4 linked regions of the Anolis sagrei genome follow. The protein of the gene in region 2 interacts with the protein of the main gene of each other region in a pairwise test. Links are inferred from orthologs where the notes say so. Each region holds a gene or a part of one and is shown on either strand. Other genes may lie near its edges.

Evidence for each region.
Region 1: the proteins of SPRY2 (region 2) and OTX1 interact in binary tests that used the Homo sapiens proteins (3 or more experiments, as listed by UniProt). The two-hybrid records come from large-scale screens. The link is inferred for Anolis sagrei from reciprocal best matches to the Homo sapiens genes SPRY2 and OTX1.
Region 3: the proteins of SPRY2 (region 2) and UBASH3A interact in binary tests that used the Homo sapiens proteins (3 or more experiments, as listed by UniProt). The two-hybrid records come from large-scale screens. The link is inferred for Anolis sagrei from reciprocal best matches to the Homo sapiens genes SPRY2 and UBASH3A.
Region 4: the proteins of SPRY2 (region 2) and HSD3B7 interact in binary tests that used the Homo sapiens proteins (3 or more experiments, as listed by UniProt). The two-hybrid records come from large-scale screens. The link is inferred for Anolis sagrei from reciprocal best matches to the Homo sapiens genes SPRY2 and HSD3B7.

The regions. Positions count from the first base shown.
Region 1 is NC_090021.1:152,705,239-152,712,860, reverse strand, and holds the start of OTX1 (homeobox protein OTX1), read right to left. Parts: upstream 3,401-7,622; 5' UTR 3,222-3,400; intron 1,096-3,221; 5' UTR 1,007-1,095; intron 1-1,006. UniProt on the Homo sapiens protein: Probably plays a role in the development of the brain and the sense organs. Can bind to the BCD target sequence (BTS): 5'-TCTAATCCC-3'.
Region 2 is NC_090023.1:117,507,567-117,515,975, forward strand, and holds the start of SPRY2 (protein sprouty homolog 2), read right to left. Parts: upstream 3,496-8,409; 5' UTR 2,570-3,495; intron 1-2,569.
Region 3 is NC_090023.1:74,952,578-74,960,699, reverse strand, and holds the start of UBASH3A (ubiquitin-associated and SH3 domain-containing protein A), read right to left. Parts: upstream 3,396-8,122; 5' UTR 3,346-3,395; coding exon 3,233-3,345; intron 2,351-3,232; coding exon 2,297-2,350; intron 242-2,296; coding exon 55-241; intron 1-54. UniProt on the Homo sapiens protein: Interferes with CBL-mediated down-regulation and degradation of receptor-type tyrosine kinases. Promotes accumulation of activated target receptors, such as T-cell receptors, EGFR and PDGFRB, on the cell surface.
Region 4 is NC_090026.1:14,544,743-14,552,381, reverse strand, and holds the start of HSD3B7 (3 beta-hydroxysteroid dehydrogenase type 7), read right to left. Parts: upstream 3,341-7,639; 5' UTR 3,270-3,340; intron 1-3,269. UniProt on the Homo sapiens protein: The 3-beta-HSD enzymatic system plays a crucial role in the biosynthesis of all classes of hormonal steroids. HSD VII is active against four 7-alpha-hydroxylated sterols. Does not metabolize several different C(19/21) steroids as substrates.

The sequences.
Region 1 (7,622 bases), on a different chromosome or scaffold from region 2:
GATATATATATATATTATGATATAACATATACAATGTATGTTATATATATATCATAAAATATTATATATATATATATATATCCTTATATATATTATCATATATATATATATATATATGATCATAATGGATCTCTCTCTCTCTATATATATATAAATTTGGATCTCTCTCTCTCTCTCTCTATACATATATATTTGGATCTCTCTCTGTCTATATATATATATATATATATATAGGATCTCTCTCTCTCTCTATATATATATATTTGGATCTCTCTCTCTCTCTCTCTCTATATATATATATATATATATATGGGAAATATAGAAAAGAGATACACACACACACACATATGCAGAAGGCCATTGATAATAAAGTTTCAAGCCGGCCTTCCTTGAAAGTGTTGGGTCCCGTCTCTCAAAGAAGGCCGCTTGAAGCGCATTAGATCCGTCTCTGTATAGACTGAGCCTTCCTTCAACTGTTTTGATTTTTCTCAAAGGAAAAAGCAGAAGCAAACTCCTTTTGAAGGCGTCAAACCGATCTCATAATTTCCCAAAGTCTTGTCCTCGCGCAGTTTTGGAAAAACACACATCCACACAACCAACATGGCGGCTTTCTAGGGAAACTAGAAGTGTTAAGAAGGGAGTCAAGGAAGGAAGGGGGGGTTAAGGCATGGGGTGATTCTTCCTCCCTGTAAAGCCCTGGTGATGCTTCCCATACAATCGCCGAGGGGTTTCTCGGAGGGACAATGCGGGCTGCTGAGGGAGGGAGATAGGGCCATTATTTTAAAAAGATAATTGGATTAGAAATCAAAACGAGATTCCAAAAAGAAAGAAAGAGAGAGAGAGAGGAGAGAGAGAGAGAGTAATTAATTGAAAAAGGGGGACAGAAGGGCAATTAGAAACCGCGAGTGGCTTAAAAACAAAACGGGGTCCTTTGAAATCCACAGAGATCCCGACGAAGGAGGAGGAAGTTTGGGTCCAGTTTTGGGGCGATTATTAGGAAACTCACTCGTGTCGCTGCGGGTTTTAGTGCGGCGAAAGGAAAAGGCGCATCCAGGCTCCTTAAGGGCTGCGAAGAAGCGACGGCATTGGCTTTTCCTGGAAAGAGGGAAGAAAGGGAGGAAGGGGGGGGGGGACACAAGAAGAAGGACACGGATCGCATTATATTGTATTACAAACCCTATCAAGTCGCTCCTGACACGGGGGAAAAATAATCCTTGACTAGGAAGGGAAAGTCGTGCCTGAAACGACGCCAACATCCCCAGAAACTGCGGAAAGAGGGGACAAAGGCCGCATCCACACAGAATACTCAAGGCGCTTTCGAACTAGCCTTCTGCAGGAATGGAAAGGTCCGATGATGCGGGTGGAGGCTTTCTAAGAATGGGATTTATTGAGACAGGCAGCCGAGATGGAACCCCAAAGAGTAGGAAAAGTGGGGTTTCAAGGAGGCGAGGGGACAAGAAAGTAGACCTGTTGCCGCCTCTCTCTTTCCCCAGAAGGAAGGAAGGAAGGAGGGATGTGACTGGGGAAATGGCCCCGATCCGCCCTCTTCCACCCCGCGCCCCGCTTGGAAGTGCAATAATATGCTCAATGCTGACCCGTACCACGCACAATGTGGGTAATATGTGGTAAGATAGGTCAGGAGCACTTTCCCGGAAGCAAGGCCTTCCTTCCTCGTGTTGTCGTGGCTGGAATCACTGGGTTGCTTTGAGTTTTTCAGGTTGTATGGCTATGAACTCACAGCAGCCTTCTTTCCTCCTTCCCTTCGCTCTTTCCTTCCTTCCCTTTTCCTTTTCTTCCTTCCTACTTTCCTTCCGTCTTACCTTTCTTCCTACTTCCCTTCCTTCCTTCTTCCCTTCGCTCTTTCCTACCTTCCTTCCTTTTCTTCCTTCCTACTTTCTTTCCTTCTTACTTTCCTTCCTTCCTAATTTCTTTCCTTCTTACTTTTCTTCTTTCCTACGTTCCTTCCTCCCTCCTTCACTTCGCTCTTTCCTTCCTTCCTTTTCTTCCTTCCTTCTTACCTTTCTTCCTACTTTCCTTCCTTCCTACGTTCCTTCCTTCCTTCTTCCCTTCGCTTTTCCTTCCTTCCCTCCTTTTCTTCCTTCCTACTTTCTTTCCTTCTTACTTTTCTTCTTTCCTACTTTCCTTCCTTCCTACTTCCCTTCACACTTTCCTACCTTCCCTCCTTTTCTTCCTTCCTACTTCCCTTCCTTCTTCCCTTCACTCTTTCCTACCATCCCTCCTTTTCTTCCTTCCTTCCCTTCCTTCTTCCCTTCACTCTTTCCTACCTTCTCTCCTTTTCTTCCTTCCTACTTTCCTTCCCTTCTTCACTTCGCTCTTTCATTCCTTTTCTTCCTTCCTACTTTCCTTCCTTCTTACTTTTGTTCTTTCCTACTTTCCTTCCTTCCTTCTTCCCTTCGCTTTTTCCTTCCTTCCCTTCTTTTCTTCCTTCCTCCTCCCCTTGGCTCTTTCCTTCTTTCCCTCCTCCTTTTCTTCCTTTCTACTTTCCTTCCTTCCTTCCGTTCCGGCCTCGCGCTGTGCTTCCAGCAGGGCCGCAAAGCTAAGAGAGAGCGAGCGCGCGCGTGGGAGGGAAGAGGGCTCGAACCTCCTGGGACCCCGTCCTTCCTTCCTTCCTTCCCTCCCTTTCCTCTTCCTTTCCTTCCTTCCCTCTTTCCTTCCTATCCTTTTCCTTTCTTCCCTCTTTCTTTCCTTACCGCTTCCTTTCCTTTCATTCCCTTCCCTCTTTTCTTTCCTCTTCCTTTCCTTTTTCTTTTCCTTCCTTTCCTCTTTCCTTTCCTTCCTTTCCCTTCCTTCCCTCTTTCTTTCCCTCTTTCTTTCCTTCCTTCCTTCCGCCCGGACTCCCCCTCGCGCGCGCCCTTCCGCGCGCCTTTCCCCCCTCCGGACCCGACCAGAGAGAGAAAGTTTCAGGAAAGTTTCTATAGAAGGAGGAGGGGGGGGGTAGCTGGGGCAGGGAGATTGAAAGACGGAGAGAGAGAGGTCTCTCTGGGAGCCGCACCTCCAGCAACGGAGGGAGGGAAAAGTTGGCCTCCTCCGTGTCCGCCGCTCCGCCCGACGCCGCTGCTCCCTTCCTCTTCCCCTTGCCCGGACTTCCTTCCCAGGAGAGGCTCGGACTCCTCCAAAGGGGGAGGGGAGGGGGGGAGTGAGGGAGGGGGGAAGGGGAGGGAGGGGGCAGAGGGGGGCGGGGAGGGAGGGGGGCGCCTCACCTGTCCGCGCGAGAGGGAGGGGGGCGCCCCGACCGGCCCCGCGCTGCCTCTCTCTCTTCCCACGGAAACACCTCGCTCGTTCTTCAGATTCCCTCCAAGCCGCAGCCTCCCTTCGCCCGCCCAGCTGTTTAGCTGATAGGAAATGTCGCCCGGCGAAGATTGATCACCTTTCCCGGGCCCTCCCCGGGTATGTGAGCGCCGGGCGGAGGCGGGACCCGGGACGGCGCCAATGGGCGGGCGCGGGAGCGCCGAGCGACAGCCGCCGGGGCCAATGGCGGCGCGGGACGGGGCTCCCTCCCCCAGGCCACGCCCCGCGCCCCGCCCACGCTCCCCGGCGGCGCCCTCGGGGCAGGTAGAGCGGGGCAGAGCCGGGTTGGGGCCCCCAGAGGACATCCATGCGCGCCAAGGTCGGGGTCCCGCTTCTATCTATCCTGAGAAAGAAAGAGGACGGAGGGTAGGGCGGGCAAGGCTTCTGATTCCAAGAAAACTTTTCTGAGGAGCTCTCCAAGGAGAGAAGCGTGTGAAACAAGAGTAGGAACCAAACATGGACTGATCAGAAAGCAGGAGAGAGAGAGGCGGGTTCCTCCTCTTTATGGAAGCATCTTCCACATTGTAAACACTCACAAATCCGTGTCAGAGCCTCAACACGGAGCTCAGAAAAGGGGTCGGGACCCCCCGTTTCCCGTTTAGACACAACGAAGCAGACAGGACCAAGGCAGATAGGATGATGATGATGATCCGTTTTGATATCCTCAGGTTCTCTCTGCGAGGAAATCACCTGTTTGTGTATGTGTGTGTGTGTGTGTGTATACTAGCCGTCCCCATCCACGCTTTGCTGTGGCCCAGTCTGTGTATACGTGTTTCCTATGTGTATATATGCGTATATGTGGTTTTGCGCATGAGTTGTAATGTATTTTTTCATATTTTTGCCTTTTTAAGTCTCTTCTGTTGTGTTTTGCAGTGTTTTTATGAGTGATGGTCACTCGTTGGCTTGATGGGTGTATTGTGTCCAAATTTGGTGTCAATTCATCCAGTGGTTTTTGAGTTATGTTAATCCCACAAACGAACATTTATACACACACACACAAAGGTGATTTCCCCGTATGTATGTATGTATGTATGTATGTATGTATATGTGTGTGTGTGTGTGTGTGTGTATATATAAATGTTCGTTTGTGGGATTAACATGAGTCACACACACACAAACCACTGGATTAAATTTCCATATATGTGTGTGTGTGTGTGTGTGTGTGTGTCTCTCACATACACAAACCACTGGATTAAATTTCCATATATATGTGTGTGTGTGTGTGTGTGTGTGTGTCTCACACACACAAACCACTGGATTAAATTTCCATATATGTGTGTGTGTGTGTGTGTGTCTCACACACACACACACCACTGGATTAAATTTCCATATATGTGTGTGTGTGTGTGTGTGTGTGTCTCTCACACACACACACAAACCACTGGATTAAATTTCCATATATGTGTGTGTGTGTGTGTGTGTGTGTCTCACACACACAAACCACTGGATTAAATTTCCATATATATGTGTGTGTGTGTGTGTGTGTCTCACACACACACAAACCACTGGATTACATTTCCATATATGTGTGTGTGTCTCTCTCTCACTCTCTCTCTCTCTCTCTCTCTCACACACACACACACAAACCACTGGGTTAAATTTCCATATATATATGTGTGTGTGTGTGTGGGTCTCACACACGCACAAACCACTGGATTAAATTTCCCCATAGATAGATAGATAGATGTGTGTGTGTCTGTCTGTCTGTCTCTCTCACACACACATACACACACAAAGGCGATTTCCCCATATATGTGTGTGTGTGTGTGTGAGAGAGAGAGAGATCCTTGGTCACGAAAAATTTGGAGAACAACAAAAGCTTTCTGAGTGTCACAAATCGTGTCAGCAACAACATTTTATCTGCGGGGGGGGGGGGTAACAACTCTTCCATCAAAAGGAAAATAATTCTGTCTATCCTGCCTTGTTATTGTTGCAAAGACTGACTTGTTTTCAGTCAATGTTTGGTTTCTATATTTGTTTTATACACCTTTATACCAAGGATCAATCACACAAACCTTTCCTTCCCTCTTTCCTTTCCTTTCCTTCCCTCTTTTCCTTTCCTTCCTACCCTTTTTCCTTTCTTTCCTTTCCTCTTCCCTCTTCCTTTCCTTCCTAGTCGGATTTATTACACTATTTTTAATTCCTGGGTTAATATGTCATTTCTTCATTGGTTCTATTATTGAAGACATGGAGAAAGTTTTATTCAATTGCAAAAAAAACCCCCATAAAAATACAAAACATACCGCTCGAGTTTTTCAGTGAATATCTCAACCAATTCCGACCTCACTACCTCTGAGGATGCTTGCCATAGATGCAGGAGAAAAGTCAGGAGAGAATGCCTCCAGAACATGGCCATATAGCCCGGAAAAACCTACAACAACCCAGTGATTCCGGCCATGAAAGCCTTCGACAATACCAAGTGTTGGTTTTGACCGAAAGACCTACAACATACTCAATTCCGACATAGTTTGTGGCAGCAAAACTGAAGTTTCTGGAGTTGAACAACTCCTTTCAAAGCAAGGGAAGCACAACTAAAGAAGAAATAATACTTTCGAAACAGGAACATGTTTTTTTCCCTGAAATGTTGTGACATATAGTGTTTTTTCCTGCTTAAACTTTCCCCTCCGCTTTTTATTTTGGAAGAGATCTGCCTCGAAGTGGAAAAGAATGGACGTTCGCAATAGTTTGTGTCCTTCATTCAAAAATCAAACGGGTCGGAAGGCATGTTTGTTTACTAGGTTGCGGTGAGTTTTTCGGTCTATATGGGCATTTCTCAGTAGCATTCTCTCCTGACGTTTCGCCCACATCTAGAGCAGGCATCCTTCCTTTAGTTTACAAACACACTTCTGAATTGTGCCTCTTCAATCCTGCCTTCCAGTCTTGAGAGAACTACAGCTGTGATTTGATGGTCTCAAGTAGTAGTGGAATTTGAATTCGGAGAGTATCTATCAAATTTAATCCACTAGTGTCTTATCGAAGGCTTTCATGGCCAGAATCACTAGGTTGTGGTAGGTTTTTCAGGCTGTGTGGCCATGTTCCAAAAGAGGCATTCTATCCTGACCTTTCGCCTGCATCTATGGCAAGCATCCTCAGAAGTTGTGAGGTAGGAATTGGTTGAGATATTCCTAACGTTTTGCCTGCACAACCTCCGAGGATGCCTGCTATTACTTACTTACTTACTTACTTACTTGCAGGCGAAACGTCAGGAGAGAATGCTTCTGGAACATGGCCATACAGTTCGAAAAACTCACTGCAACTCAGTGATTCCAGCCATGAAAGCCTTCAACAACAAATGTTTGTTTACCTCAAAATCAGCCCATGAGACTTAGAAATAGGTAGCAAAAAGTATGAGTAAAATGCGCTGGCATGTTTTTCCCAGGCTGGGATCTACACTGTCTCAGACTTGAACTGGATTATATGTGTCTACCAGCAATGTAGATATCTCACTTCTTTTCCCATCCGGGGTTATTTTGAGCTGCTTTTCTAAGTTTAATGTATTGTCGAAGGCTTTCATGGCTGGAATAATTGGATTGTTGTCGTTTTTTCCTCCGGGCTATATGGTCATCTTGTAGAAGCATTCTCTCCTGACGTTTCGCCTGCATCTATGGCAAGCATCCACAGAGGTTGTGAGTTTGTGCCAGCCACAAAAAAACCCCCCCGAAGTTTCTGGTGTAAGAACAACTACTTTCAAAGTCAAGTCCTGCACAATTACACAGGAAATAACACATTCAAACGAGGAACAGATTTTATTTTTTCGAATTTGGTGACATCGTTAAATTAACTGAAGCTAAAGACCTCCCAACCTCTGAGGATGCTTGATATAGATGTAGGCGAAACGTCAGGAGAGAGTGCTTCTACAAGATGACCATATAGCCCGGGGGGGGGGACTACAACAACCCAGTGATTAAACAGGAAAGAACACATTCAAACCAGGAACATATTTTATTTTTCGAATTTGGTGACATAGCTTAATCAACCTCAGAGGTCTCACAACCTCTGAGGTTGATTAAGCTATGTCACCAAATGTCTCACAACCTCTGAGGATGCTTGCCATAGATGCAGGCGAAACGTCAGGAGAGAGTGCTTCTACAACATAGACGGGGGGGAAAAAACCCGACAATCCTTTTCTAAGTTTGTTTAGAAGTTTTGCTTCCTTCCAACAGGTCCTTCCACCAAAGGATGTGAATCAGGATAGATAATAATAATAATAATAATAATAATAGATGGGAGTTATCTCCAGATCTACGTCTAGATAATAATAATACTAATAATACTAATAATACTAATAATAATAATAGATGGGAGTTATCTCC
Region 2 (8,409 bases):
AACACAATACAACTTTTTCAATGAAAAAGGAAGGCGGAGGGGAGGCATGGAGCAGATGTCAAAAAGGGCTGTTTTCAAGGCAATAGGTAGCGAAAGATCTCTCCTTTCCTTCCTCTCTCCCTTCACAACTAGATAAGATAGATTATAGATAGATTTTATGGTGATCCCATGAACCTCTGGGCTTTCTTAGGCAAGGAATACTCCAAATGGGCTTTGTTACTTTCTTTCTCTGAAATACAGTCTGTATTTCAGAGAAAGGAATTGGCAAAACCACCTCTGGGTTTTAGAAAACACCCCGAGATTCATGGGTTTGTCTTAAGCCTTGAAAGGCCAGCACATACACACACATGAAGCAAAACAATGCAGATTTCAACTAGGCAATCACTCACTTCCGATCTGCACTCGCACAGACTTCACCAACTCCAGCAGTGGCAAAGAAGGCGGCTTTTAAAAGGACACCTAAGGGTGCATCTACACGGGCAAACGAAGGTGGTTTGGCACCACTCAATGATAGGGAATTCTGCAAGGCCATTCACTGCTAATCAAGATAGCCATTTGCAAAATTCACACTTGCCTCAAGCAGGCAAGAGCTCTTTCTCCCACCTTGGGCATTCCAGATATATAAACCTCACTTGCCTAGTTTCCAACAGACCCCTCAACCTCTGAGGATGCCTGCCATAGATGTGAGTGAAACATCAGGAGAGAATGCTTCTGGAACATGGCCATACAGCCCAGAAAGCTCACAGTAACCCAGTGATCCTGGTCGTGAAAGACTTCAACAACACATAAGGAATTCTAGTTTATGCCCCCTTCCACAGAGTTGAACAAAATCCCACAATATCTTCTTTGAACTGAGATATACGGCAGTGTGGAAATACTTTTTCAGGACCCTTCCACATAGCCCTATAACCAAATCTATCAAGGCAGAATATCAATATCTGCTTTGAACTGGGATATATGGCAGTGTGGACTCAGATAACCCAGTTCAAAGCAGATATTGATATTCTGCCTTGATAGTCTTGTTTATAGGGCTATGTGGAAGGGCCCTGAAAAAGTATTTCATCTTCTGCCAAAGAGTGCTGGTGCCTCACCAAACTAGAACAGCCAAGATTGTATAGCACTGAGCCAGGACAATTCAAGTGGTGTTGAAGTGCATTAATTTTGCAGTGCAGATGTGTCCTAAGAAGGGCAACAAGCAAGTGAAGTTGGGGGTTGGGGTTGGACAAGATTTTCACTTGACAGGATCCTGTCAGGCACACATTTCTTGGCAGAGCTACACTGTAACCCTAGTTTTCCCATCTACACAGTAGGATTAATGCACTTTGATGCCACTTGAACTCCCATGGCTGCAAATGGTGGGATCAATGTAACTGGAGTTTGACAATGTCTTCAGAAAAAAGAGTGCCAATGTACAACTCCTATAATTCCATAGCATGGTGCCGGGACAGTTCCAAATGGTGCTAAACTGCATTCATTCTACAGTGTGGAACAGCCCAAAGCTCCTTTGGGAATTGGGGCAAATCTGTCACTGGCCAAACCATCTGAAAGGAAGTGACTCTCCAAGCTTTCAGTCTATGGGCCCTTCCACACAGCCATATTATCAAGGTGGAAAATCCAATATAATGCTTTGAATTGGGTTATCTGAGTCCACACTGCCATATAACTCAGTTCAAAGTAGACAACATGGGATTTTGTATTGTCAAAGGCTTTCATGGCCAGAATCACTGGGTTGCTGTAAGTTTTCCGGGCTGAATGGCAATGTTCCAGAAGCATTCTCTCCTGGCGTTTCACCGGCATCTGTGGCAGAGTTTGTGAGGATGCCTGCCACAGATGCAGGTGAAATGTCAGGAGATAATGCTTCTGGGACATGGCATACAGCCTAAAACACTTACAACAACCCAATGTGTGATTTTTATTTAGCTGTGTGGAAAGGGCCCGAGAAACCTCAGAAACCTCTGAGGATGCTTGCCACAGATGCAGGCGAAACATCAAGAGAGAATGCCTCTAGGACATGGCCATATAGCCCGAAAAAACCTACAACAGCCCAGTGATTCAGGCCATGAAAGCCTTGACAATACATTAAACCTTGGAAACATCCCCTCCCTCAAAATCCGACCCCTTTCCTGCAAAGAAGGGGGAAAAGTCCTGCAGCCAAAGTTTGCCCTCTTCCTTCTCCCCAGGGTCCTTCCAAACAGAATATCAAGGCAGAAAATCCCACAATATCAACTTTGAACTGGGTTGAGTCCACACTCAGATAATGTGGGATTTCCTGCCTTGATATTCTGGGATATAGGGCTGTGTGGAAGAGCCCCGAGTCCACACTCTCATAATGTGGGATTGTAGTTGTAGCCTGAGTCTTTCCCCCTCTTCTTCCCAAGGCGCTTGTTTCCTGCAAAAAGGGGGGAAATCTCCCCATCCGTTCCATTAACAACACACACAGACACAAATACTCTCTTCTTCCCTTCTTTCCCCTTGATTTCTTCTTCTTCTTCCCAATCCAAACCCACCAAAACATGAAACCAAAGCCTTCTTGATTCCCTCCCCCACAAAAAAAACCACCCCAACTCACTTCAAGTCCAGGTTGCAAGCCAGAAGAATCATTGAGACGTCGGCTTGCTGAGTTCCCTTTCCGAAACCCACGAGGGGAAAAAGTCGCGTCCCACCTTCCTTTATTTTTCCCCCGGAGGCGAATAAATAGCAACCCAAACCAATCTCAGAGCTGTTTGTGAAGGCGCCCCTTTTTCTGTCAATCGGGGCGAGGTTGCCTTGTCCTCTCTCTCTCTCTTTCTCAATGAACCAGAGGTCTCTTCGTCAATCCGGAGTCGCTCCCAAGCCAGGCATCACCACACTACAGAGGAAGGCATGGCCAGAGACGTCGAGAAGGGGCTCGAAGGGAGAAGGGCTTGGGCTGTTCCCCGAATTAAGATCCCAAAAGTGGCTTCGGAGGTTTCTTCTCTAGCGGCGGCGAGGATCTCAAGCAAATCTGGGAGAAGAGAGACAGTGCAGACGGGCAATCGAGGCTGGAAGGTGGCTGCGTGACTCCGAGCGCTGTTTGTGCAGAAACGTGGGCTCGCGCGTGTTTTCTCTCTCTCTCTCTCTCTCTCCAAGGTGCGCGAGACCCCCAAGCCAAGCCAGACTTAGAAGGCTTTCTGGAAAGGCAGGGAAGCCAAGCAAGAAGGGGGAGAGAGGAGGAGGAGAAGAAGAAGGAGAAGCCCCCCGCCTGCTGCTTGCTTCCCCCGCTTTCCCTGCGCTGGAGCAGGAAAGGGCAGCTTTGAGATCCGGGCGCCAGGAGCGGCGGCGTTTTTCTGCCGCCTCCCCTCCTTCCCTGGCTCGCTTTCCTTCCCACCCCTCCTTTCCCCTCCTTCCCTCCCTCCTTTTCTTCTTCTTCTTCTTCTTTCCGGAGGAGGCAGGGTGAGCTCTCTCCGCTCAAAGCCGCAGTAAATGGCGTCATGTGGATCCGAGGAGGAACAGAGCAGTTGTTGTCCCGGAGGATATATCGCATCCGGTCCCGCCTCGTTGCAACCTCACCCCCCCTCCCCTTTTCTCCCTCTTCCTCCCCCCTCCCTCCTCGCCCGAGCGCCAGAATGGGGGCGCGTGTGCGCATGCGCGCGCGTCCCTCCTTTCCCTGCCTGCCTGCCTGCCTGCTCGCTTGGGCTCGGCTTCTCGCCGCTCATTCAAAAGGGCAACGCCGGCGGAGACACACTCCAGAGCAGGGCTTCTCAACCTTCTTCATGCCGAGAGCCCTTAATACAGTTCCTTCTGTTGTGGTAACGCCCCCCCCCCCAATAATATTATTTTCGTTGCTACTTCACAACTCTTAATTTTGCTCCTGGTATGAATCGTAATGTCAATATCGAATATGCAAGTTGAATTTTAGCCATGTATAAATGTGTGAGAGGAAGTCATAGGGAGGAGGGAGCAAGCTTGTTTTCTGCTGCCCTGGAGACTAGGATGCAGAACAATGGTTTCAAACTACAAGAAAGGATATTCCATCTGAACAGTAAGAACAACTTCTTGACTGTGAGAGCTGTTCAGCAGTGGAACTCTCTGCTCTGGAGTGTTGCAGAGGCTCCTTCTTTGGAAGCTTTTAAACAGAGGCTGGATGGCCATCTGTCGGGGTTGCTTTGAATGCATTCTCCTGCTTCTTGGCAGGGGGTTGGACTGGATGGCCCATGAGGTCTCTTCCAACTCTATGATTCTATGATTCATTTATTGGACCAAATTTGGCACAAATACTCGATATGCCCAAATTTGAATACTGGTAGGGTTTGAGGGAGGGGTTGATTTTGTCATTTGGGAGTTGTAGTTGTTAGGATTTATAGTTCACGTACAATCAAAGAGCATTCTGAACTCCACCAACGATGGAGTGGAACCAAACTTGGCACAGGGAACTCCAAAGACAAACAGAAAATACTGGGTTTGGTGAGCATTGACCTTGAGTTTTGGAGTTGTAGTTCACCTACATCCAGAGAGCACTGGGGACTCAAATACATGGTGGATCTGGACCAAATTTGGCACGAATACTCAATATGCTTAAATGTGGACACTGGTGGAGTTTGGGGAAAATAGACCTTGACATTTGGGAGTTGTGGCTGCTGGGATTTATAGTTCACCTACAATCAAAGAGCATTCTGAACTCCACCAACGATGGAATGGAACCCAACTTGGCATACAGAACTCCCATGCCCAACAGAAAACATTGGAAGGGTTTGGTGGGCATTGACCTTGAGTTTTGGAGTTGTAGTTCACCTGCATCCAGTGAACACTGTGGACTCAAGCATATGATGGATCTGGACCAAATTTGGCATAAATACTCAATATGCCCAAATGTGGACACTGGTGGAGTTTGGGGAAAATAGACCTTGACATTTGGGAGTTGTGGTTGCTGGGATTTATAGTTCACCTACAATCCAAGAGCATTCTGAACCCACCAACAATACAACTGGGCCAAACTTCCCACACAGAACCCCCACAACTAACAGAAAATACTGTGTTTTCTGATGGTCTTTGGTGACTCCTCTGACATTCCCCTTGTGACCCCTATAGGAGTCCCGGCCCCCAGGTTGAGAAACCCTGCTCTAGAGTGGCTGCTCAGTTCTGCAGTGGGAGAGAAGGGGCTTTGAAGTGTAATTTCTCCAGTGGTGTAGGGCACAAACACCCCGTGATAATGTGGAATGTCTCATTAAGAGTCACATCCAGTGCTCTTCGCCTTGAAAATGCAGCATATGGTCAGTGTAGGCTCGTATAGTGCAGTTATAGGGCAGTGTGGAGGAAGCCAAAGGCAAGGCAGCCACTCTGGAAAGACTCTGGCCTTATCACACTAGAGGAAAAATCCACTTAAAATCCAGTTTCTGTCTCCTGCAGAATTCTGGGATTTGTGGTTTACGAAGGAGCCAGTAACAGACTCACAAAACTATAAATCCCAGAATTCTGTAGGAGACAGAAACCAGATTTCAAGTGGATTTTTTCTCTCTAATGTGATGAAGTTTTGAATGCATCGAACAGGCATGGGCAAACTTCACCCCTCCAGGTGTTTTGGACTTCAACTCCCACTGTTAGGAATTGTGAGAGTTAAAGCCCAAAACATCTGGAGGACCAAAGCTTGCCCATGCCTGTTGTAGAAGCAAGGCAGCCTGAACTGCCCTGGCTTAATGCTAGGGGGTGATAGGAGTTGCACTGTGAAGATGCAAGGCCATTCAGTGGGAATCAAGGTGGCCAGTTACAGCATTCACACTTGCCTCAAGCAGACAAGAGTCCTTTCTCCCACCCTGAGCATTCCACAGATATAAAAACCCCACTTGCCTAGTTTCCAACAGACTTCACAACCTCTGGGTATGCCTGCCATAGGTGCAGGAGAAACATCAGGAAAGAATGCTTCTGGAACATGCAAGACAAGAGTCCTAAATAAATAAGGCTAACCAGCCAGTATTATTTTAAATGGATTTAATTTTAAACTAATTTAATGTTTTTACTTATATGTAATTATTGTATTTATTATGTTGTATGTGGGAGCATCGAATCGTTGCCGTCTGTAAGCTGCCCTGAGTCCCCCTGTGGGGGTTGAGAAGGGCAGGGTACAAATATTTGAAATAAATAAAAAAGAATGCTTCTGGAACATGCAAGTCAAGAGTCCTTTCTCTCACCCTGGACATTCCACAGATACATAAAGCCCACTTGCCCAGTTTCCAACAGACCTCACAACCTCTGGGTATGCCTGCCCTAGGTGCAGGAGAAACGTCAGGAGAGAATGCTTCTGGAACATTCAAGACAAGAGTCCTTTCTCCCACCTTGGACATTCCACAGATATATAAACCTTACTTGCCTAGTTTCCAACAGACCACACAACCTCAAAGGATGCCTATCATAGATGCAGGAGAAACGTCAGGAGAGAATGCTTCTGGAACATGCAAGACAAGGGTTCTTTCTCCCACCCTGGGCATTTCACAGATACATAAACCTCACTTGCCTAGTTTCCAGCAGACCACATAACCTCCGAGGAGGCCTGTCACAGATGCAGGCGAAACGTCAGGAGAGAGTGCTTCTGGAACATGGCCACACAGCCCGGAAAACTCACAGCAACCCAATGATTCCGGCCATGGAAGCCTTCGACAAATACATAGTTGCACTGTGGTTTGTCAGTAAAGGTGAAAGGCCTTGGAAAACTACAGCTCCCAGGATTGCACAGCATTGAACCAGGGCAGTGAAAAGGATTGTCCCATGGAGACCTGGGAGTTGTAGTTTAGGGAGGCACTAGCACCCTTTGGAGGAAAAGCCTCCACGCCTGGTCAAACTACAACTCCATGGCAACTCACACGGTGCCAAACTGCATTCCACCTGCAGTGTAGATGCGCCCCTTATCTCAGAATTCAAGAGGAAAGCTCAAACTTTGATCCCTGGCTTTACTCGGCCGCTAAGAGGGTGGCGTTTGGCGTCTGCAAAGGGATTGACCCGTGTAAACGGGATGAGTGAAGCCTCAACGAACGAAATGCTTCACTTAAAGGGCAACCTTCCCGATCCCATAGCATTGTACCCGGGCAGCTCAATCGTACAGAGGCACCTTTAAAAGCCGAGAGCCTGCCTCCCGCCTTTGCCCCATTGATAAAGCCAGGCGCGGGTATTAAAGGCGCCGCTACCCCTTTTACCCCAAAAGGAGGTAAATAAATGGCACGCGGTGGGAGGATTGCACCACGAAGGTTGCACTTCCTAAATCCCTTTCTCTTGGAAGAGGGAAGGTAATCCAATCACCTGGCCGAGTGGAGAGGGAGAGAGGGAGGCGAAAGAAAGGGATCAGTCGCTGGATTATCCCCATCGGAGGCTGTGGGGACAAATCTCAGCCTTCCCTCTTCCTGATCGTTTACTAAGGTGCCAACCTTTAAGCAAAGGCTGCTCCTCGCTCCTTTTCAGCCCTCTTTCGAAAATAGGATAGATACCTGGTTCCTCTGCACTGTTGGATTAGCACAGTTTGATACCACTTGAACTACCATGGCTCAAAGCTGTGCAATCATGAACGTTGTAATATTAGGAGGCCTTTAGCCTTCTCTGCCAAAAAAATATGGTGCCTCATCAACCTGCAAATCCAGATTCCATAGCATTGGGCTGTGGAGTCAATACAGTGTCCAACTGTGTTCATTTCACAGTGTAGATGCCATAACTGTGGCACAGAAGGAGCAAAAGTAAATGTTAATTGCGTTCCTGTGAGTTTTCCGGGCTGTATGCCCATGCTCCTGATGCATTCTCTCCTGACGTTTCACCTGCATCCATAACAGGCATCCTCAGATGTTGTGAGGTCTGTTGGAAATTAGGCAAGTGGGGTTTATATATCTGTGGAATGTCCAGGGTGGGAGAAAGAACGCTTGTCCAGTCCTGTCGGACTCTGGGGTGCGGTGCTCATCTCCATTTCTAAGCCAAAGAGTCAGCGTTGTCCATAGCACCTCCAAGGTCATGTAGCTGGCATGACTGCATGGAGCACCGTTACCTTCCCGCCGGAGCGGTACCTATTGGTCTACTCACATTTGCCTGTTTTCGAACTGCTAGGTTGGCAGAAGCTAGGGCTGACATCGGAAGCTCATGCCGCTCCCTGGAATCGAGCCTGCAACCTTTCAGTCAACAAGCTCAGCAGCTCAGCGGCTCAGCAGTTTAACCCACTGCGCCACCGGGGACTCCTGCCTTACAGGCATGGGGAACCTTCGGCTCTCCAGGTGTGGTGGACTTCAACTCCCACAATTCCTTGAGGCCAAGGTAAGCCTTTGGGGTGAATGCCGAGCCTCAAGGAATTGTGGGAGTTGAAGTCCACCACACCTGGAGAGCCGAAGGTTCCTGACCCCTGGTCTGGGATATAGGGCTGTGTGGAAGGGTCCACAGTAAGCTCTCTGCCTTCACTGGAATTAAGGACACAAGATCTGGCAAAAG
Region 3 (8,122 bases), about 43 Mb from region 2:
TTCTCTATTACATCACTTCAACCACCATCATTGCACAGTAAATGTTTGACTCACCGTAAAGAATTCACAAAGGGTGATATGTGGGAAAATCTCATGGGCTCTGTTTTTTCCACACTGTTGTTTGCTTTCTCTCCAAAATTCTACTAGTGTGTCATTCAGTGGTCCTGCTGGGCACAAATAAAGGGCATATTCTTGTGGGATAGGATCTTCTAAAGAGGGATCATTGCAGTGAGAATGCAACCTACAATTAACAGAGGATGTATTAAGATTAAAAATAGTGCAAGCACTCTTCTATCCACAAAAGGGCAATGGGTATCTATGCCAGCAAATTCATTTATGCTAAAACAAAGCTCCATGGATATAAATGAAGTACAATTGGTACCAATTTTATTTGTACACTCCCTAGGGTCTTGCAATAAATAGATGTATACAAATTGTTTAATAAAATAAAATAGTTTTAATAGATGGTTGGAACTGAAGGAAAGTGTTCTTGTGGGATCAAACTGGTTTTGTATCTGCTTAACCTAAAAGTTGGGGGTAGGTGGGTTTTGAGCAGGCCTCTAAACTAACCAGCCTGTTGCTGGAATAGTTCATTCCCTTGATATATCCATAATCATGCCATCAGACTGTAGGGCTTTGGAAATGGTGGAAGCTTTCCCATTTAACCTCATTTCCAAGGCAATAGGGGATGTGGTGATGCAATGGGTTAAACCCTTGTGTTGCTGAACTGCTGACCTGAAGGTTGGCAGTTCAAATCTGTGGGACCGGGTGAGCTCCCACTGTTAGCTTACAGTTTAAAATCCAACACAGCAGTTTGAAAACATGCAAATGTGAGTAGACAAATAGGTACAGCTTCATCGGGAAAGGCATAAGATGCTCCAAACAATCATACCAGTCACATGTCCAGGATGTGACAACACGGGATCCTCAGAATGGAAATGGAGAACAGCACCTCCCCCAGAGCCAGACATGAGCACTGTCTCCAAAGCCGGAAATGAAAGGAGAAGCCTTTGCCTTTGTTTGTGTTTGTGTGTCTCATTGTATTGTAACAAGGCATTGAAGGTTTGCTGGTATCTGTTTATACTGTAATCTGCTCTGACTCCCCATGGAGTGAAGGGCGAAGTATAAATAAAAGTGTATTATTATTATTATTATTATTATTATTATTATTATTTAAAATAACAAAAATGGGGCTTTGCAACCACCAGAAATAGCATAGCCGCAGCAATTAGAACACTTTAAAAATAGAGTAATTATTTATAGCCCAAAAGCAATTCTTAAAAAAATGTTTTGGCCACACAAACCACAAGGACATTAGAGAGGTGGCTAGAGAGCAGACTTCAGTATTTATCTGCAGAGCTCTGTGACCTGTTTCAAGTGAACATTTGTTGCTATTTTATGCCTTTAATTTAGCTCTGACTTACAACCTATCATAATATTTTCTTAACATGACTTATTCACAAGAGGTTTTCTATTGTCTTCCTCTCAGGATCCGAGAATATGACATGCCCAAGGTCACTGAGTGGGTTTTCATTCCTGAACAAAAATTCAAATTCCAAAGACCTAGTCCAATTCTCAAAGCACTACACTATAGTAGTTCTTGTACATCGCTTGTGGTCAATCAGTCAAGGCATTAATTAAAATTTAATGACCAACAGTCACTCCTTGGCTCATGTTTATCACTGGGCCTCCATATGTTTACATCCATTTTTTCCTCTTAAAAACCAAAGGTGCTCCACAATGATCAGTCATAAAAGGTCATAAAAGGTAAAGGTAAGAGTTTCCCCTGACATTAAGTCTAGTCGTGTCCAACTCCGGAGGGTGGTGCTCATCTCGATTTCTAAGCCGAAGAGCTGGCGTTGTCCATAGACACCTCCAAGGTCACATGGCCGGCATGATTGCCTGGAGCGCCAATACCTTCCCACCAAGGCGGTATGTATTAATTTACCCATATTTGCATGTTTTTGAATTACTAGGTTGGCAGAAGCTGGGCCTAACAGTAGGAGCTCACCCCGTTCCCCAGATTCGAACTACCAATCTTTTGGTCAGCAAGTTCAGCAGCTCAGCAGTTTAACCCACTGCGCCATCAGGGGGCCACCAGTCATAGAAAAGTTAACAAGCCATATCTTACACATATAGCATTAACTGGCTTATGAAATAATTAATTCTACCGTACAACCATGTGATATGAACTTCATGTCTTGAAGATGTACTTAGCCAGGTTCGCTGTGTTTGTCCCTGACTTGGGATGGTTTCTATGACACCTTGTTTGAAAATATTCCTTGCTCCCACTCACCATTTTGTTGCATCTTCTACTGACTTTTGCCCAGTAGCTGCCAAAGCTTTTAGCCTGAGGAGAGCACAATAAACTCACATTAAGTAATGAAAGCCACAATCACATTGAATCAGAATAACTTTATTTCTGATATCAGTTTGAAAAGATGCTTTGTGAACATGACGCCTTATTAAATTAAACTCTGATCCTGAAAACATACCTAGCTTCCTAAACTGCTTCTCATAGGACTTAGCTTCCAAACCTTGATCATTAGTTGCTCTTCTCTGGGCACATTCCTGCTTGTCAATACCCATCTTGAATTATGTTGCCCAGAAATGGACACAATGTTCTAGCCCTAAAGAAAACAAAACACCCTTTTCTGCTTCCTTTCTGAATACCAGTTTACTTTTAAAGCAAGCAGGGCTGCCCTAACCCATTTATCCAACATGTAAAATATATAGTACCTGGAAAAGTTTATTTTTTTTCTTCCTTCCTCATACACTCTCCCATTCTTACATACTTTAAAGTAAAAGCAGAGGCAGCCCTAGGTAATTTTCAACGGTAAGCAAACAGTATTTTGCCCGCCCGCCCCCCAACCAATCACTGATATATATATATATATATATATATATATATATATATATATATAGTTCGTCGTGGGAGTTCTGTGTACCATATTTGGTTCAATTCCATCATTGGTAGAGTTCAGAATGCTTTTTGATTGTAGGTGAACTATACATCCCAGTAACTACAACTTGCATATGTCAAGGTCTATTTTCCCCCAAAAGCGCTTCAAGGGCGCCCCTGGGCAAAATCAACTATACTGCAAATGCTTACTTTGCGTAATGGGTTGAGCCACCCCTGAGTAGAAGCCATGATTTTAAACTGTAAGCCAACTCAGTTAGTTATATACCAGTAAATAGGAGAGGAACTGTATGCAGTAGAAGAGATACTTACGCTATATGTACAGAGAATCCATTCATCAAGAGAGGCTCCAGTAAAGACTGGCTATTTCTATTTCTGTGCTTGCTTAGGACTTTGGAATATAGTGGTATCTCAGTTGCTGCCATCTCTCTCTTTCTCTTCTGCGAATGCAACGTAGACAAAGGTGCAGAGAAAGAGTGTGTAGGCAGAGTCTCCTGTGATAAAAATCAAAACCTCAAAACCTCCTTCGATCTTTTTTGACACAAGTTGACATCCTGTTTTCACAGCATGGTGTGGCTCTTAAAATTATTGCTGCAGACAGCCTCAAAGTGAGGGGAAGGTAAATACCTTGGACTGAATGTGGATTACAGGTTACTGGCCCACCCTGCCTCAGAGCTATACATTTCATTTCAGTGACTGTTCGCAGATTAGATTGGTGCCTTCTCTGATGTAAACCGATTTCCTCAAAGAGGAGTTGTCAGTATGAATGAAATGTTCATGTAGAATATTTCTTTGTATGTTAAATTATAAATACAACATTTTCAACATTCTCTGTGAATATTGGAAGAGATTCTGACAGCTAAATGAGCTGTCAGTATTCAAGACACAATTGAAGACCTATCTCTTTTAGTAGTAAAACTATAAATTTTAAATTTACATTCTATTTGTATTGTATTTGAACCTTTGTACTACATATTTTATGTGTTTTATATCTATACTTTATGGTAATGTGTTTTAACTCTATTGTAACCCACACTGATGGAACAAGCATGCTCCCCTGAGGCAGGCCATTCTTCTGTTTTTCCCATCTGCTTCTCTGGCCCTCGAATTCAACAAAAAAGCCTCTGTTTTGTAGTAGATTTCCTATGAAGTGGGTGAGGTGGTAGTCCTTTGTGATATTATACATTTTCCTCAGGAGAAGGCAATGATTTACAGTGTCATAGGCTGCTAACAAGTCTATGAAGACATCTATGTAGATACTGTGACTGTGGCACAGCTGGCTGGGAGTCAGTGTTGCACCTCAGAGTAGATTCTCCTGGCTACAAAACACCAAACTGCACACAGCCAGAAGTCTTTATAGTTTATTAAAAATAAAAGGTAAAAATTTCTTAAAAGCAAAGGTTAATGTTCCAAAAGATCAATATAATATAGCACTTTGAAGCTTAATCCAAAAAGGCACCAGCGAAGCAAAAGCCCAAGAGAACATGACAAAGACCTGAAACCATGAACACAAAAACTGCAAGATAATCTAGCCAAGCAATGGCAAGCTTCTTAGTTGAATGCAAAGTTGCTTTGACGAAGGTTTGGTCTCAAACACACTGCTTAATACCCTTACAAAACATGAAGGCGCTTCTTTGGCCTCTGACCTCCCTCTTGTTAGCTATTCTCTCACTCCTTTGAACTCGGAATTCCAAACGGTCAGCCCGATCTAAGTTTCCCATTTCATCAAGGTCAGTCTGTTCGTTAGTGTCAGCCTGTTTCCCTGCTTGCTCATTATCAGGTTGTGAACCGTCCTCCTTCTCTGAGTCAATCTGCACCTGCACCTGGCTATTTTCAGTATCAACACTCTCATGCCTTGCTGTGAGAAACTGCACTTCTTCACTGTCTATAACAGGGACATTTTGAACCAGACTGTGAACCTAAGTCCCATCATCCTCATCAGAAACACTCTCTGATTCCAGCTGAGTCACAACAGTCAGTTGCATTAAGATCACTACTGACTGAAAGGTCATGAGTTTGAAGCCAGCCCAGGTCAGAGTGAGCTCCCGACCAAAATTGTGTAGCTTGTTGTCGACCTTTGCAGCCCTAAAAGGACAGTTGCATCTGTCAAGTAGGAAATTTAGGTACCACTTATGTGAGGAGGCTAATTTAACTGATTTACAAGGCCCGGGGGGAGTCTCTCATTCAGTATCAGCCATGGCTTGAGGTTCCTGGTTTTAGCCTGCCACTTTTGGACTCTCATTTGCTGAAGTGTTCCTGCGACTATCTCTGTAGATCTTAGAAAACTATTTCTTGATTTAAGGCATTGGCATGCTGGCTGATATCTGAACAGGGGATGGGCGGAGATGTCACTGCCTTGGTCCTTTCATTATTGGCTACCACTTCCTGGCAAATGTCAGGTTGTGCAATACCGGCTAGACAGTATAATTTCTCCAATGGTGTAGGGCATAGACAGCCTGTGATAATGTGGCATGTCTCATTAAGAGCCACATCCACTGTTTTAGCGTGGTGAGATGTGTTCCACACTGGGCATGTGTACTCAGCAGTAGAGTAGCATACCACAAGGGCTGTTGTCTTCACTGTATCTGGTTGTGATCCCCAGGTTGTGCCAATCAGCTTTCAAGCACTCACATTTTGCTTGGTATTCAGGCAGTGCTTCGTGTAGGTCAGAGAACAATCCAGGGTAACTCGCAGGTATTTGGGTTATGCTCCAGATGTCTTCATAGGCCTGTCAGCAGCCTATGACACTGTAAATCATTGCCTTCTCCTGAGGAAAATTTATGATATCACAAAGGACTACCACCTCGCCCACTTCATGGAAAATCTACTCTTAAACAGGAGCTTTTTTTGTTGAATTCCAGGGCCTGAGAAACAGATGGCAAAAACAGAAGAATGGCCTGCCTCAGGGAAGCATGCTTGTTCCATCAATGTACAACATTTACACAAATGACCAGCCACTGCCAGAAGGGATAGAGAGTTTCATCTATGCTGATGATCGTGCCATTACCGCTCAAGCAGGGAGCTTTGAGATGGTTGAACAGAAGCTCTTCAAAGCTTTAGGTGCTCTTGCTGCCTATTACAGACAAACCCAGCTGATTCCTAATCTATCTGAAACAAAGACATGTGCTTTTCATCTTAAGAACAGATTTTTGGGAGTACAAGTGGTTGATTCTGAAAATTATGTTTCAAGAAAGGATGTTTTCCACACTCAACAAACATCCCCTCCACTGCTGAGGATATAATCAGTACAGTACAACCTCCTATATCCATGGGGAATATGTTCCAAGAGTCCCACAACTGATACCCGAAACCACAGATAATAGTGAACTCTATATTTTGACTATAACTTATCTGGAAGCATAAACATTGCAATGAAGGACCTAGAGTGGCCCACAAACACTTCACACACACACACACACACACACACATCTCTATCTATCCATCTATCTATCTATCTATCTCCAGTCATAGTACCTGAGTAAGCTGGGGATTATAGTCCAATACATCTGAAGAGCAACAAACTCGAGAGTGTTATAATCAGTAAAAATATTGACAATTTGAGTGAAACACGTGTAATGTACAGAAAATAATAATGTGTACACTGTGTCTCCAAGTGTAACCTTCTCTGTTGCAAATCAAGCTCTTTGGGTTTCACAGAACAGAAAGCTTCTTGCAGAAAACTGTGTACTTGTGAGTATATGAGAGACATGAGAGATGAAATGCCTCCCACTGTTATCTCTTCCGTATTTCTGGAAGCAAGCTCTTCTCTGTTACTCAGATGCTCTTTGTTACATTCCTGGCAGGCCTTTAATGAGGAAAAACTATACAACCAAATTACATTTCTCCTTTCTTTCATATGGACAGATAACACACACTTACATCTGGTGCCATTTCCAGAGACTCGTTGGATATATTTGCAAATACTACAACATTCCTCTTCCTGTTTATGGTTAATTAAAAGGCTTGCTGCCTTTTTACCTTCCTGGTCACTGGAGCAATGCCATTTGAGGCTACCTGATCTCTCCAGATGGGTTGAATTACACTGACGCCGGTCATAATGCCATCTTCTACAATGATTCAACGAGCAATACGAGGTGCCTCAATGAAAATATCTGCAGAGAAGACTGCGGGATTTCTAGCTGGCCAACTATTATAATGCAAAGAAAATGTATTTTGACATGTGATAATGGCTTCATTGGAAGAGGTGAGTAATAATTTTGATCATGATCATAATGTTGTTCTTTCCAAAACTGCTTCTTTTCTAGCTGATTTTCAAAGGATGCGACATACCTAAAGCAACACAAGCAGTTGCCACAGGGAAGCAAAGTTTTCCCTTTGTTTTGCTTAATCATTTGGTCAGAGCAGAAGGCCAAGCTCTGAAATGAAATATCCTTTGAATCTCATCATTTCTAGTTCTAGAGCATGTATGTGAAAATTGCATCGAACTGAGAAAAGTTATTCCCAGGGGTTTGTTCCTGGTAGTTTATACCTGTTGGGAACATTTCTCAAATTACTACATATATAGATATTTTGGCTTTGAGGTGTTACTAAAAACACTGGAGTACCCTATAACTGTGTTGCTCCTAGAAAAGGACTCTGGGGGCCCTTCCACACAGTCATATGACCCAGAATACCAAGGCAGAAAATCCCACAATATCTGCTTTGAACTGGGTTATCTGAGTCCACAGTGCCATATATTCCAATTCAAAGCAGATATTGTGGGGTTTTATTCAGCTGTGTGGAAGGGGCCCCAGTTAGGAAATACTGAGGGGCCTGGGACCTACATCTTGGTTCCTACCCAGCAGAATAAGAGCACCAAAAAACTTTGTAGGGTGGAACTATCACTGTTTGAAGTAGGTAATGTAATACAATTGCCATATAAAGAGGGAGAGCTTAGAAGACCAATATGTCCAAAAACTGAAATTATTCAAGAGCATCTATGTTGGAGAATTTTAACAACCATTCCTTAACTGCTTGAAGACTTTCATCTGCCATCCACAGATATTTCTTTCTGTTTTGGCTGCAGACAATGTATTTTTGTATTCTTTCCTGACAGTGTCCCTGGCTCAGTTAGGCTTAATAGTGTAAATCTACATTTTACATTATCTTTAAATTCCACAGGGATGTTTTTTTCAGGTTGTGGTTTGGCATGCTGGCTTGTTTCATGTTCTTTAGTTTTATTCTCTTTTTAAAATATTAGCA
Region 4 (7,639 bases), on a different chromosome or scaffold from region 2:
ACCAATAAAATTACATTAATTGAGGCATCAGTAGGTTGACTGTTTATTAATATTTACATAAAATTGTAAGGTAAGACTTTCCAACTCTGACTAAGCCATTATTCTAACCATCCTCAATGTACATGTGTTTACATATCTTTCCAATAATAATAGAGTAAAATAATAAATGTAATAATAATAAAAATAAATAAAGCTAACCTATAAATGTAATAATAATAATAATAATAATAATAATAATAATAATAATAGAGTAAAATAATAAATAACCTTGACTCGAGTATAAGCCAAGGGGAGCTTTTTCAGCCTTAAAACAGGGCTGAAAAACTAGGCTTATACTCGAGTATATACAGTAAATCAAATTGGCAAGTACATACTATGCCTGGGACCAATATAGTAATATCTAATACTGATTACTAATACTAATACTAATAAAAATTATGGAGCCCCTGGTGGCGCAGTGGGTTAAAGCACTGAGTTGCTGAGCTTGTTGATCGAAAGATCACAGGTTCGATTCCGGGGAGCGGTGTGAGCTTCCACTGTCAGCCCTAGCTTCTGCCAACCTAGCAGTTCGAAAACATGCAAATGTGAGTAGATCAATAGGTACCGCTCCGGCGGGAAGGTAACGGCGCTCCATGCAGTCATGCCGGCCACATGACCTTGGAGGTGTTTACGGACAATGCTGGCTCTTCGGCTTAGAAATGGAGATGAGCACCACACCCCAGAGTCAGACATGACTGGACTTAGTGTCAGGGGACTACCTTTACCTTTTAATACTGATATTGTACTATGCTAATAATATAATATATTGTATGTATATATATCTTGAAAGCTTCTCCGAGTCCCCTTCGGGATGAGAAGGGTGGCATATAAATGTCGTAAATAAATAAATAAATAAAATATTGCAATCTGTAGTTCCTTCTGGTGGCCTTGGGAACTATCATCATCATCATCATCCTTTAATTATATAGTGCAGTTTGACACCACTTTGACTTCATGCTATATGGAATCATAGGAATTGTAGTTTGCTGAAGCACCAGCAGGGAAAGCTGAAAACCTTGTAAAACTACAACTCCCAGGATTCTATGATATTGAGCCATGGTAGTTAAAGTAGTGACAAACTTGCATTCATTCTACAGTGTTGATCAGATGTGGCAAACTTGGGCCCTCCGGGTGTTTTGGACTCCAACTCCCACAATTCCTAACAGCCTCAGGCCCTTTCCTTTTCCCCCTCAGCCGCTTAAGCGGCTGAGGGGGAAAAGGAAAGGGCCTGAGGCTGTTAGGAATTGTGGGAGTTGGAGTCCAAAACACCTGGAGGGCCCAAGTTTACCCATACATGGTCTAGATGCACCTAGCAAGAGAGGGAAGGAAGAAATAACAAAATATAGAACTCTTACAACAAATTATCCAGGCAAAATACAACAAAGTTACAGAGTAAAGAAAAAAAGTATCAACACCGCTATATGATAATAAAACAAGCCTAAATTAAAGCTTTGGAAATCGGAATGAATGGAGTTTGACTTCTCTAGTGTTCCATGGTTTATAGAATCCTGGTTGGCAAGGCACTCTTTGTGAGACCTTGTAAAACTACAATTCCCATATAGCATTGAGTCATGGCAGTTAAGGGGGAGGGGATCAAACTGCATTAATTCTACAGTGTGGAATGTTGAATTCCCCCAGAATCCTGAGATTTGTAGTTTGGCGAGGCACCAGCCCACTTTGTCAGACCTTGTAAAACTACAATTCCCATATAGCATTGATCCATGTCAGTTAAAGGGGAGGGGGTCAAACTGCATTAATTCTACTGTGTAGAATGTTGAATTCCCCTAGAATCCTGGGATTTGTAGTTTGGCGAGGCACCAGACCTTGTAAAACTACAATTCTCATATAGCATTGAGTCATGGCATTTAATTTGGGGGGAGGGTGGTTCATTAATTCTACTGTGTAGAATGTGGAATTCCCTTAGAATCCTGAGATTTCTAGTTTGCTGTGGCACTATCCCACTTTGTCAGACCTTGTAAAACTACAATTCCCACATAGCATTGAGCCATGGCATTTAAAGGGGGGGGGGAACTGCATTAATTCTACAGTGTAGAATGTTGAATTCCCTTAGAATCCTAAATTTTCTAGTTTGCTGTGGCACTAGGCCACTTTGTCAGACCTTGTAAAACTACAATTCCCATATAGCATTGAGCCATGGTAATGAATCCCCTAGAATCCTGGGATTTGTAGTTTGGTGAGGCACCAGCCCACTATGTCAGACCTTGTAAAACTACAATTCCCATATAGCATTGAGCCATGGTAATGAATCCCCTGGAATCCTGGGATTTGTAGTTTGGCGAGGCACTAGCCCATTTTGTCAGACCTTGTAAAACTACAATTCCCATATAGCATTGAGCCATGACAGTGAAAAGGGGGAGGGGGGGGTAAAACTGCATTAATTCTGGTGTAGAATGTTGAATTCCCTTAGAATGCTGCGATTTCTAGTTTGCTGTGGCACTACCCCACTTTTCAGACCTTGTAAAACTACAATTCCCATATAGCATTGAGCCATGGCACTTAAAGGGGGGGGGGGGGCAAACTGCATTAATTCTACACTGTAGAATGTTGAATTCCCTTAGAATGCTGCGATTTCTAGTTTGCTGTGGCACTACCCCACTTTTCAGACCTTGTAAAACTACAATTCCCATATAGCATTGAGCCATGGCACTTAAAGGGGGGGGGGGCAAACTGCATTAATTCTACAGTGTAGAATGTTGAATTCCCTTAGAATGCTGCGATTTCTAGTTTGCTGTGGCACTACCCCACTTTTCAGACCTTGTAAAACTACAATTCCCATATAGCATTGAGCCATGGCACTTAAAGGGGGGGGGGGGGCAAACTGCATTAATTCTACAGTGTAGAATGTTGAATTCCCTTAGAATGCTGCGATTTCTAGTTTGCTGTGGCACTACCCCACTTTGTCAGACCTTGTAAAACTACAATTCCCATATAGCATTGAGCCATGGCACTTAAAGGGGGGGGGGGTATCAAACTGTATTAATTTTACAGTGTAGAACGAGAAACTCCCAATAAAGTTCTAGTGCCTCTGTAAACTACAAATCCCATAAGAAGCAAGGTGGGGCTATAATTTTGTGGCTTGGGGTTTTAAAAAAAATTATGAAGGGAAGGAGCAAAGAGGTGATTTGTAAGCAATGCAAAAAAAGAACCTGCAACATGACCTTCATGAGGACTAGCATCCTCCTTTTAAGAAAGCATCCATACAAACTCACCTACTTCCACCTGCAATCCAAGGCAGAAAGGTCTTCTGCTTCACTCTGCAGTCTCTCCCTCTCTCACTTCCAATGGGTGGCTTTGTACTGGGGAAGCCTTTCAAATCCCCCGCCCACTGGCTTCCCTGGGTCCTAGCGCTAGTAGGACTCCTACCTCTGTCCCAAAAATATGTACACACTCTTTATTTAACACAGTGTTTCTCATTTAACACAGTGTCCCCTCGATGGACTGTCACCTTGTCGTGGTGAGGGGGCTTGCGTGTTCCGATGAACCTGTGGGCACAACAACTGGAGTCGTGCACTCCCAGGAGTGGCCGCGGGGGAGGTCCCAGACCAAGCACAGTCCGAAGACCAAAGACCTCAACGGCGGAGCAGGCGGAGGATAACATGGCACATGTTACAACGGCTGCGAAGGCGGAAGAAGGCTGCAACAGACTGAGAAGCCACGGTCATTGTGTTAAACTACATCACCAGTGGAACCTCATCTGTGAAGACTGTGTGTTGTTCAGCTGTGCACTGACCTCCACACATTAAAAAAACCCACGCACAGGCGTCTTCCAAAGAAAATAAAAACCAAGCAACCAAAGTCCCATGGCGATCAGCGAGTGGCGACGGGGGCAGGACTGTGAAATCTGGAAGCCCCTAGTCACAGACTGGCACATGGGCGGTGGGTACGGACTCAGTCGCTCTACCTCAAGGTCCGAGGCAGTTGAGTAGTTCGGCAGCTGTATCCGCGAACTGAGCAGCCCTTTTTAGGACCCACTCTGCTCACCCCACACGGGGAGGGGGCTAGAAAAGGTGCCCTAAACATAGTCTGCCTCACTTATCCCTGACTGGACTGCCGCGTCCAGTGGGGTCACCATCCTGCGGCCAAAAAAGAAAAATGAACTTCGGTACGTGGAACGTACGGACACTGATGGACTGGTTTGACGAAAATGACATCGAGATCCAACAGCTAATCGACAAGAAAAGGAAAGCCTTCCAAACATGGCAGAGAGACATCAACTGTGCTGCTAAGAAAAAGATCTACGCCAGTGCAAAAGCTGAGGTCCAAAGAAGGACAAGAGAACTCAAGAACATCTGGTGGACAAAGAAGGCTGAAGAAATCCAACACCTGGCAGATACCCATAATGCTCAAGGATTTTTCAAAGCCACAAAGGTCATCTATGGGCCAAGAAACCATGGCATACAGCCTCTACGCTCATCAGACGGAACCAAACTCCTGAAGGACCAAAAGTCAATTGCACTACGTTGGAAAGAACACTACCAAAGCCTCCTAAACCGCAGCTCCAGTGTGGCCGAAGAGGTCCTCTCACAAATCCCGCAGCAACAAACCAGGGATGAGCTTGCAGCACTGCCTAGTTTGGAAGAAGTCAGCAATGCCATCAGCCAACAAAAGAACAACAAAGCCAGCGGACCGGATGGGATCCCTGCTGAAATCTTTAAAGAGGGAGGACCTGCGCTGACACACCAACTCCACCAGCTCATAGAAAAAGTGTGGGTGACCGAGAAAATCCCAGCAGACTTCAAGGATGCCACCATCATCACCCTCTTCAAAAAAGGGGAAAGAACAGACTGCGGAAACTATCGAGGTATCTCCCTTCTAACCTCTGCTGGAAAAATCCTCGCAAGAATCCTTGCAAACCGCCTTCTTCCCCTCTCAGAAGACACCCTCCCAGAATCCCAGAACGGCTTCCGCCCCTCCAGAGGAACTGTGGACATGATCTTCACTGCACGACAGCTCCAAGAAAAATGCAGGGAACAAAACCAACCTCTGTACATGGCATTCATCGACCTTGCCAAGGCATTCGACACAGTGAATCGCAGCGCTCTCTGGACCATCCTCCAAAAAATCGGGTGCCCAAGCAAATTTGTGAACATCCTGCGGCTCCTCCACGATGACATGATGGCAACAGTCTTGGACAGCAATGGCTCCCAAGTGACCCATTTAAGGTGGAATCGGGCGTCAAACAGGGATGTGTTATTGCCCCAACTTTATTCTCCATCTTCATCGCCATGATACTTCACCTTGTTGATGGGAAGCTTCCCACCGGAGTGGAAATCATCTATCGGACAGACGGCAAGCTATTTAACCTCAGCAGACTGAAAGCCAAAACCAAGGTCACAACAACATCTGTTATAGAACTCCAGTATGCTGATGACAATGTCGTCTGTGCGCATTCAGAAGAAGATCTACAAGCCACTCTAAACACCTTCGCAGAAGCATACACAAAGCTTGGCCTGTCACTGAACATCGAGAAAACCAAAGTGCTGTTCCAGCAGTCACCAGCCGATCCCTCTCCAATGCCAGTGATACAGCTTAATGGTGTAACATTAGAAAATGTCGACCATTTCCGCTACCTTGGCAGCCACCTCTCCACCAAAGTCAACATCGACGCCGAAATACAACACCGCCTGAGCTCTGCAACTGCAGCATTTTCCCGAATGAAACAAAGAGTGTTTGAGGACCGGGACATCCGTAGGGATACTAAGGTGCTTGTCTATAAAGCTATTGTCCTCCCAACCCTGCTATATGCCTGTGAGACATGGACTGTCTACAGACGTCACATGCAGCTCCTGGAACGATTCCATCAGCGCTGCCTCCGGAAAATCCTGCAAATCTCCTGGGAAGACAAGCGGACAAACGTCAGCGTGCTGGAGGAAGCCAAGACCACCAGCATTGAAGCGATGGTCCTCCAACATCAACTCCGCTGGACAGGCCACGTTGTCCGGATGCCTGACCACCGTCTCCCAAAGCAGTTGCTCTACTCCGAACTCAAGAACGGAAAACGGAATGTTGGTGGACAGGAAAAGAGATTTAAAGATGGGCTCAAAGCCAACCTTAAAAACTCTGGCATAGACACTGAGAACTGGGAGGCCCTGGCCCTTGAGCGCTCCAGCTGGAGGTCAGCTGTGACCAGCAGTGCTGCAGAATTCGAGGAGGCACGAGTGGAGGGTGAAAGAGAGAAACGTGCCAGGAGGAAGGCGCGTCAAGCCAACCCCGACCGGGACCGCCTTCCACCTGGAAACCAATGCCCTCACTGCGGAAGAAGATGCAGAGCAAGAATAGGGCTCCACAGCCACATGCGGACCCACAAGGAAACCCATGATGGAAGACCATCTTACTCGTCCAACGAGGGATCGCCTAAGTAAGTAAGTACAGTGTTTCTCAACCTTCCTAATTCTGCGACCCCTTAATACAGTTCCTCATGTTGTGGTGACCCCCAACCATAACATTATTTTTGTTGCTACTTCACAACTGTAATTTTGCTTCTGTTATGAATCATAATGTAAATATCTGATATGCAGGATGTATTTTCATTCACTGGATCAAATTTGGCACAAATAACCAATATGCCCAAATGTGAACACTGGTGGAGTTTGGGGGAAATAGACCTGGACATTTGGGAGTTGGAGTTGCTGGGATGTATAGTTCACCTACAATCAAAGAGCATTCCGAACCCCACCAATGATAGAATTGAACCAAACTTGGCACACAGAACTCCCATGACCAACAGAAAATATTGGAAGGGTTTGGTGGGCACTGACCGTGAGTTTTGGAGTTGTAGTTCACCTACATCCAGAGAGCACTGTGGACTCAAACATTGATGGATCTGGACAAAACTTGACACAGATACTCAATATGCCCAAATGTGAACACTGGTGGAGTATGGGGGAAACACACATTGACATTTGGAAGTTGTAATTGCTGGGATTTATAGTTCACCTATAATCAAAGAGAATTCTGAACCCCACCAATGATAGAATTCAGCCAAACTTAGTACATAGAACTCTCATGACCAACAGAAAATATTTGAAGGGTTTGGTGGGCATTGACCTTGAGTTTTGGAGTTGTAGTTCACCTACATCCAGAGAGCACTATGGACTCAAACAATGATGGATCTGGACCAAACTTGGCACAAATACTCAATATGCACAAATGTGAACACTGGTCGAGTTTGGGGGAAACAGGCCTTGACATTTGGGAGTTGTAGTTGCTGGGATTGATAGTTCACCTACAATCAAAGAGCATTCTGAACCCCACCAATAATAGAATTCAGCCAAACTTAGTACATAGAACTCCCATGACCAACAGAAAATACTGAAAGGGTTTGGTGGGCATTGACCTTGAGTTTTGGAGTTGTAGTTCACCTACATCCAGGGAGCACTGTGGACCCAAACAGCTATGGATCTGGACCAAACTTGGCACAGATACTCAATATGCCCAAATGTGAACAATGATGGAGTTTGGGGGAAACACACCTTGACATTTGGGAGTTGTCATTGCTGGGATTTATAGTTCACCTACAATCAAAGAGCATTCTGAACCACACCAACGATATAATTGGGCCAGACTTCCCACACAGAAA